Linked DNA regions of Oryzias latipes. The protein of the gene in region 2 purifies or fractionates together with the protein of the main gene of each other region. This does not show direct contact. Links are inferred from orthologs where the notes say so. Each region holds a gene or a part of one and is shown on either strand. Other genes may lie near its edges.

Evidence for each region.
Region 1: the proteins of csgalnact2 (region 2) and slc30a1 purify together in Homo sapiens (co-immunoprecipitation; 3 studies listed by BioGRID and IntAct, counting the BioPlex papers as one, with this or other methods). This does not show direct contact. The link is inferred for Oryzias latipes from reciprocal best matches to the Homo sapiens genes CSGALNACT2 and SLC30A1.

Annotation. Positions count from the first base shown.
Region 1 is NC_019882.2:6,335,904-6,340,124, forward strand, and holds the start of slc30a1 (zinc transporter 1), read left to right. Parts: upstream 1-1,279; 5' UTR 1,280-1,635; coding exon 1,636-2,203; intron 2,204-3,168; coding exon 3,169-4,028; 3' UTR 4,029-4,221. Other genes in the region: serine/threonine-protein kinase Nek2, read left to right, coding at 31-98, 363-568. UniProt on the Homo sapiens protein: Zinc ion:proton antiporter that could function at the plasma membrane mediating zinc efflux from cells against its electrochemical gradient protecting them from intracellular zinc accumulation and toxicity.
Region 2 is NC_019873.2:29,899,067-29,903,440, reverse strand, and holds the start of csgalnact2 (chondroitin sulfate N-acetylgalactosaminyltransferase 2), read left to right. Parts: upstream 1-1,469; 5' UTR 1,470-1,584; intron 1,585-2,849; exon of another isoform or gene 2,850-2,921; 5' UTR 2,922-3,063; coding exon 3,064-3,715; intron 3,716-3,784; coding exon 3,785-4,001; intron 4,002-4,070; coding exon 4,071-4,172; intron 4,173-4,237; coding exon 4,238-4,374. UniProt on the Homo sapiens protein: Transfers 1,4-N-acetylgalactosamine (GalNAc) from UDP-GalNAc to the non-reducing end of glucuronic acid (GlcUA). Required for addition of the first GalNAc to the core tetrasaccharide linker and for elongation of chondroitin chains.

The sequences.
Region 1 (4,221 bases), on a different chromosome or scaffold from region 2:
TCAATTCTTACTTTTTATGTTCTGTTTTAGAGCAGAGAGTTTACTGAGAAATTACAAGCTGCAGCAGCAGAAGGACCTGATCTTTCTCGAAGACATAGGTAGGGGAATCCAACAAAGACCTCTGGACTTACTGAACTTAGATACAGCTGGGCTATGAATTTATGAATGAATGAAATATTTATTGTGTTTATATCAAGTAAATAAAGTATCTTTTTTTTGTAATCTAACAATGAACTTTTATTCAATAAACAAGTTTTAAAGCCATTCTCAGCTCAAACCAAATTCTTGACAAAAGAAATCTGCCTGATTATTAAAAAGCGCTTTCAAGTCGTGTTAATCAGATCCCTGCTGTTTGATTTTAGATGCGGAGATTTTGTCTCCTGGGAAGAAGAAGGTCCACTTTGCTGGTGAAAACATAGAGAATGAGCAGCCAGAGGGTCGCCAGAGTGCAACGTCTCAGGACTTGATGAAATTGAGACTGCAGGCTGCAAAGCTACGCGCCCAAAAACTCAGCGAGATGGAGCAAATGTGCCAATTCAAGAGCAGGCAGATGCTCGGCATACGCTGAGCGCATCCTGATGTTCTTCATGACTGAATTACAACTGGATTTTATGTTTTTATTTAATAATTGTTTGGCATTTTAGTGAAGCTAATTTATCTTGTGTATTTCAAGTTTTGTTGTTGCTCTCTTTGTTGTCCAACTATATTTTAAATGATTTATAGATTGTGTAAATGTCAATGGCAGCTGTTGAAAGTGTTAAAATAGTGTGCACATTATTGCTGTTTTAACAACCCTTTCATTAAAAAAAAAGATTTTATGAACCACTGTTGAAAATTAATAAACAAAAATGTCACAAATGGGTTTTTTATTTATTATGAACAGACGAATTCAAAGAGTAAATAAATGATTTTAAATGTTGCTTTGAAGCAATCAACATAAACGAGTTAAAAGAGAAACAGTAAATCTCATAGTCCAATGACAATTTAACGTCTGCTCTCCACGAGAGGTCATCAGTTTCTAATAAAAACAAATGTGAGTCCATCCAAATGAAGGAGTAAGCCAGGGTAGTTGTAGTGAAGCGTGCCTGACCAAAAAAAAAAAAAAAGGAAATGAGTTGTCGCGGGATTTCAGTTGTGGACAGCGTGCGTAGCAACCCTGGTTGTCCTGCTAAGTCACGCCTCCTACTTGCGTGATTGGTGAAATAGACCAATCACATGGGTTCTAGTTTTCCACTCACCAATGGGAACGGTGATGGGCGGGTCTTGCCCTTCGTGTTCCGTGTGAAAACTTTGCCCGGCTCGGGTGCAAAGTTTCAACCGTCTGCAAACTGGAAATCGTCGGCAGATGAGTCTGGAATATCCTGGAAAAGAACACGGTGTATTCACACGGTTACCAGGTTTAGGGCTTTGTGGAAAAATGTTTGCGGTGTTCGTTGGGTGTAGATGAGTGATGGTGGCGGGTGGTAGATAAAAACAGACCGGGAAGACGCAGTAGCTCGGATTTTATTGTCTGTTTGGAGCAGTTAGCTTAAACGTAGGTTAGGGAGCTAGCTTACCGTCGTCCCGGTGTCTGTCGTACATCTTAGACATTTTCTAGACTAAAACTTGAATTAAAAATACTAGTAAATTTATAAAATGGCTTGCGAACCCAACCGAGCGCGCCTGCTCTGTATGCTTTCACTGACTTTTGGCTTCTTCCTGGTGGAGGTGGTGGTCAGTCGCATCACTTCGTCTCTGTCGATGCTGTCGGACTCCTTTCACATGTTGTCCGACGTGATCGCGCTGATCGTGGCTTTGGTGGCCGTGCGCTTCGCCGAGAAGACTCAGGCCACCAACAAGAACACCTTCGGCTGGATCCGGGCGGAGGTGATGGGGGCTCTGGTCAACGCCGTCTTCCTCACGGCGCTGTGCTTCACCATCGTGCTGGAGGCGGTGGAGCGTTTCACCGAACCCCATGAGATCGACAGCCCGATGGTGGTCGCCGGGGTCGGCGCGGCGGGGCTACTGATCAACCTGCTGGGACTCTGCTTGTTTCATGGGCACGCCGGGGGAGGCCACGGCCACTCGCACGGGGGACACTCTCACGGGGGTAAGGGCAAAAAGGGGAAACATGGCAAGTCCCAGAAGGCCGGGAACGGATCTGCTGGAGAAGAGACCAACTACCTGGTGGGGAATCACACCAGCAACACCAAACCAAGCATGGGTATGTATGGAAACGTGCATTATATTTGACATGGTGGCGTTAACTGAGCCTAATCTTACTGTAAACAGCTCAGATTCCACCTTAAATCATCAGCTTTTCAAACAACTGCCTGACTAATCTGTATTGTGTTCTTGTCAGCTTCAGTCTTGACATTTATTTGTTTTCAAATGCATATAATTTGTTGAGTCACTACATCCCTGAAAAGTGTTGCGACACAAGCAAGACGTTTCTTGCTTTGTGAGAAGTACTCCTTTACCAAAGCTATCAAAACAACCTGGGATTTGTAGCCTTTATTTTGTGTTCAAAAAAGACCCCCTTCAGTGATGCTGATGACAGCCTCGCCTTCATGTGTTTCTATGAACACATCTTTTCTGTGCATAAGGATTTCAAAATAAGATTATCTCCTCCCTTCTTCATTCAAAGAAGGGTTAAAATCAAGTAAAGAACACCCTCCTCTTTTGTTAAGCCCTGCCAGTTTCAATAAATGAACCTTCATTTCTTCCACCCCTGTACACCGATTGCTATTAGTGGGTCATACATCAGAGACTCTGGGACTCGACAGCCCCGGACACATCATTAGTCCCTGATGAACGACCTGGAGGTGCCCTGAGAGAAACGGCTTCCTAAGCTCTGCCTTTTTGTTACTAAATCTGAATTAGGAAGACTCAGATGCCACATGCGAAGTTTGCTTTCTGTGTTTCACTGGTTTGCGCATGGCCCCGAGCTCTTGTGCTAAAGAATCAGTCACAAGGTTGAGGAGCCCTCTGCAGAAAAGCTGCTTTTGTTCAAAAGGGAAAACATGTTGGTTGATGTGATTGAACATATCACAGTGGACTAACGCAGATGTTGCATAGAACAACAATCTTCTTTAAACTCGCTGCTGGTATCTTGAGGTCAAAGTCTATGTGATTATGTAGTGTGACACTACAGAAGTCTAAACCTTCTTCTACGGTTGTTTTCTGCAGAGGTCAGCTGTAAAGACAGCACAGAGGTGCAGATGAACGGCAACACCCACTTCGAGGAGATGGAATCCGAGGCCGATGCGTCGTCGCAGCTCAACATGCGCGGCGTCTTCCTGCACGTCCTGGGGGACGCCCTGGGCTCCGTCATCGTGGTGGTGAACTCTGTCATCTTCACTTTCGTGTGGAAGCCCTGCGAAGGTCCAAGCTGTACGAACCCGTGCATCAACAGCCACAAGACAGACCACCGCCACATCAACCACACTCTAGTGGATCTGCAGGACACGGACACAAAAGCCGGGCCCTGTTGGGTGCTCTACCTGGATCCCACGCTGTGCATCATCATGGTGGGCATATTGCTCTACACCACCTACCCTCTGCTCAAAGAGTCCGCTCTCATCCTGCTGCAGACCGTCCCCAAGCAGATCAACATGCACCGCCTCAACGAGCGCCTGCTCAGCCTGGACGGCGTCCTGGCCATCCACGACCTGCACATCTGGCAGCTGGCAGGAAGCAGAATCATTGCCACGGCGCACATCAAATGCCACGACCCCACGTCCTACATGGATGTGGCCAAACGCATCAAGGACTTCTTCCACGACGAGGGCATCCACGCCACCACCATCCAGCCTGAGTTCGTCACCTTTAACTCCGAAACTCAAGGCTCCCAGTGCGAGCTTTCCTGCCGGACTCAGTGCGCTCCTAAGCTGTGCTGCGGACAGAAGTCTGCCAGTGACTCTAAAGCAGCTGCTGCCTCTGGCCTAGAGGTGATCAGCGAGGCTTCGGAGCAGGTTCCCAGCATTCAGGGGGGCCCTCGGACTGAGGCGGAGGTTGCTGTCACCAGAGAGGTGGAGTCCTCTGTGTGAGTCCGGGATTTCACATAAAGAGAGGCAGCAGGAAAACTACCACTTTGTGCTTAAGCATTACTCTCATTTTTAGAGGGTTTAATCACCCTTTTTCCCTTAAAATGACTTTTACTTTTTTATGACTTTTTTTTTTTTAAATGGTTGCTCCGACTTCACCAACATTCATCCATATGAACCTTAGTTTCTTTCAATT
Region 2 (4,374 bases):
AAAAACCTCCTGCTGTCAGAGTGCAGCACGAAGACCAGTTCCAGTCCAGGACTGAACGGGGACACTGCACCATCACAGGCGGTAGACAGCTGCGACTGAGTCGGGACTGCTTCTGAACGTGGAAAGGTTCTACTGTAGGGGTTCCTGGAAATGTCCACAATGTTTCTCCAACAAGATGTTTCCAAGCTGCCAAACAAAAGAAGCTCCAACATGTTTTAGGAACTATCTTCTTAGTTTTGCTCTGGTATTTATGTGTATGTTTGCTGTTGTTTTTTTTACATTCAAACTTTAATCTAATAAAGCTGCTCTGTTTAAAGGATGTGAGACCGTGAGTTTGATGTTTTCAGCTCCTTTGTCCAAGTTTCCAATCACTGTCATGCTTGTGTAAGCCAAACTCTGTCACTGCTGTTCTGTTTTTTGATTGTGTTTCACTTATTAATAAACATTCAGATTTGAACCTTGTCCTTTCAACGTTTACATAAAGATATCTGTGGCACCATCGGCTCGTTAAAAAGTCTCTCTGTGTTTTATTTCTCATCTCACTAAACTATGACACATGCAGAAACGTTTGTGAAAAAAACAGATAAAATCAAGTCTAGAACTTCAAAGTTTGGTTCAAAAATAGAACAAAATTGATTCAAATTCTTTGATGTTTATTACATTTGGTGAAATCAAGATTTTAGACTTACTTCAAAGTAAGTTTGTACTAGAACTATCATTGTGATATTAGGTGTTCTAAAGTTTCAAAAATATTTTAAATCCACAAACAAAATTTTTTCATTTCCTTCAGGCTTAAACAAATGTTTGTTGTTGTGACAAAGAGGAAAAAGGACTCGAGCAGTAAGATTTAAACATTTGTATTTATGAGCTTTTCATCAGATACTTTGTGTTCCATGTTGTACTCTGACAATATACAACATTTTATAAAAAATGACATTCTTACATTTCTGAAACTTCTGTGATGAAGCCGAGGTCAGCAGTTCCCATGAGGTTCTGTGTGTTCCAGTCACATCTGATGGCTGATCATGGAAGTTTGTGGAAACATTTACTGCTTTACTTATTGAAAGTCAGTAATTTAACATGATTTCTGTTAGTGATTAAATCTGGAAGCATTAAAGGTCCAGTTCAGAGTCGGTCTAACTGTAGTTAGACTGTAAGTCATTCAAATCTAGATTTATTTTATATTTCAGAAATATGGGAAAATGTAAAGTAATTACGTACATTTATATATAATTTTTAATTTATAGTGTGCTTAGCATTTTAATGAATCCTCGAGATGCAACTAAAACCAAAAACATCCAACAGTTAAAAAAATGAACTAAATTAAATTAGCATAAAATGCAATAATTATATAGTAATAAAGATAAAACATTTGCAAAAAGGAATGTTTTTGTTGTGAGCCTCAGCATGTCTGATGACGTAAGGCGTCAGCGAAGCACCCATTGGCCAGTTGAGGACCGGAAATTGACTCCGACCAGCTTCTTTCTGTGCTCCGTGGCATTTTGTAGCGGGACAGGCAGCAGCTGCTTCCCCAGCAAACACGCGGCTTTAAGGCGAGGAAGAGATGAAAGATAAAACAACCAAGTGAGTCATTTATTTTTTATTCAACTCTAGTTCATAAAAATGCTGTTTTTGACTATCAAAACATGCTAAACACATAGCAAATCTCCGTAGATAGCTAAGCTAGCTTTGAATTGTTCGGTGTTTCCGGTCGCGGTTTTTCACAATAATTTCACACTTCCTGCTGTGGTTTCTGATGGTTTATCGCTAATTTTTCACTTAAAGAAGAAAATAAACCCTCTGGAATTTGTGTTTAGTGAACTATCCTTCTATATACTGGAGATAATATTGTGATTATAATTATTTTTATGCTCAGCAAATGTCACGCTATTCAATCCGTGAGCTATTTGAAAACCTATTGAACTTTAAAGCTATAGCTGCTCTGCACAATTTAATAAAGAGCTTGACGTGGTGCAAACATGATTTCGGTTTAGTTGTTTAATTTTTCTGTCTAATAAATCAGCGAGACTAACGGTGATGATCCGGATCGGCTGTTTCACCGGAACCGAACCTTTGACGTTGATTTACGCGCCTGTGGCTCAGAGGACGGTGACGGTTTCTGAGCCCAGAACTGAAGCTGGGAGACCTTTAAACACAAAACCACTAAAGGGGAAAGTTATAAATCTTTAGACAGACTTCATTAAAAGACTTCTCTTTGTTTTGTTTCTCGATGTGGTGATTTATTCAACACTTTGCTGAATTTATTTTTGTTTAAACTAGTTTAGATTCCTGATGACATCGTTTGATTTATTTTTATTCCCAAAGCTGTTAAACTTTACGATCAGCCTCTCTGCCATGAAGCTCCGTTTGTTCGTATTTATTCGTTCATTCTCGTTCAAACTGAGTTTTTACATGAAGGCTCATGTTGTTGTTCGCACGTATTTGAAGTTGAGTCCCGTTATCTGTCACGCGCCCAGGTGCGTGAAATGTTCTTTGGTGGTTTAAGCGTAATCCTAACAGTAACTAAGTTCAGGTTCACCTGTTTCCAAAATGGCGTGTGAATTTTTAGCCGTAATAACAGTGAGTTTCTCAATATGAGAGCATATAAAAAAACGGTCTTCTCTTATTTTGTAAGGTAGACAGGTATACCGGAAGTTAGCATGACCATCTCGTAGCAGCTCGTGAGCCGCGGCGCTAGCTCTGCAGGTGGAGCTGATCACTCCTGTCGTTTATTTGATCACTAAAATAATAATTGAAAATGGTTGGACGTTGAATTCGTGTGAATTTCTGTTAGAATCCGGTTGTTTGTCAAAACGCTTCAGTTCTTCTGTTTCATTCTCATCTTTCAGTCAGGAGCACTGATTTCAGACCTGCTTCCTTTGTCTGATTGGCTGTTTCGTCTGCGTCCTGGATTCTCACAGGAGCCCCCCATGGAAGGACAGATGATCTTCAGCTGAAGATGACCTCCATGCATTTGCATGTCTCTCCTGGAGGCGCCTTGGGAGGATGTGAGCGGAGGACACGGGGATGAAGTCCTGGCCGCTCTAGTCTGATGAGGACGCCATGGCCCGGCGCGGGTTGCCGTTTCAGGGCCGGGTCCGCTGGCTCTTGTTGGGCCTCCTGCTGTTGCTGGTGCTGCTGCTGTTTGCCTACATGCTGGAGTGCACGCCGCCTGCAGACGTGAGCCTGGTTCTGCCCGGCCCGGACGGAGGGAACTATGGGAAGGAGTACTACCAGGCTCTGTTGCAGGAGCAGGAGGAGCGCCACCTGAGCCGGGCCTCCAGCCTCAAACGGCAGATCGCTCAGCTGAAGCAGGAGCTTCAGGAGATGAGCGACAAATTAAAACTTCTGCAGGACAAGAAGGAGCCCCCGGGAGTTCAGGCCCTCGGAGAGAATAAGGACCAGGAGCCGGGGGACCTGCTGGAGTACCTGCACTCCCAGATCGACAAGGCGGAGGTCAACGTGGGGGCGCGTCTGCCCAGCGAGTACGCTCTGGTGCCCTTCGAGAGCTTCAGCTCCTCCAAGGTGTACCAGCTGGAGATGGGGCTGACGCGGCACCCAGAGGAGAAGCCGGTCCGCAAGGATCGGCGGGACGAGCTGGTGGAGGTCATCGAGGCCGCGCTGGACATCATCAACAACCCCGACGAAGAGGACGGGGTGGAAGACGACGCCCCCATGCAGAGGCAGACCTACACAGACGCTCACTTCACTGAAGGTAAAGCTGTCAGACGGGGGCGGGGCTTCTCTCCTGGCTTGTTACTGATTGGCTGGTTTGCTCCGGCAGGACTCTACAGAACGGAGCGAGACAAAGGGACGCTTTACGAACTCTTCTTCGCCAAAGAGGACTCCAGCAGCTTCCGGCACGTGACCCTCTTCAGGCCGTTCGGCCCGATCATGAAGGTCAGGAGCACGTCTGTGGAGACGTCGGGAGTCATCATCAACATCATCGTGCCGCTGGCGGGCAGAGTCGACACGTTCTCTCAGTTCCTACATAACTTCAGGTGAGGACGGAGCCCCGCCCACAGCCAGCGGTCTGGTGATGTGCTGATGAGACGCCGCCTGTCTTTCAGGGAGGTGTGTGTGCAGCAGGACAGGCGGGTACATCTCACCGTGGTGTACTTTGGGCAGGAAGGCCTCCAGGACGTCACGTCATCTTTGGAGAAAATGTCCAGGTTGGTCTTTTTCCAGCTGCGAAGCGTTTCCTGGCGTCGGTCGTGACGTTTGCGTTCTGGCACAGAGAGGAGAGCTTCTCCAATTACACGCTGGTCCCGCTGGAAGAGGAGTTCTCCAGAGGCCGAGGTCTGGACGTCGGCGCTCACGCTTGGACGGGCGGCGACGTGTTGATGTTCTTCTGCGACGTGGACATTCACTTCA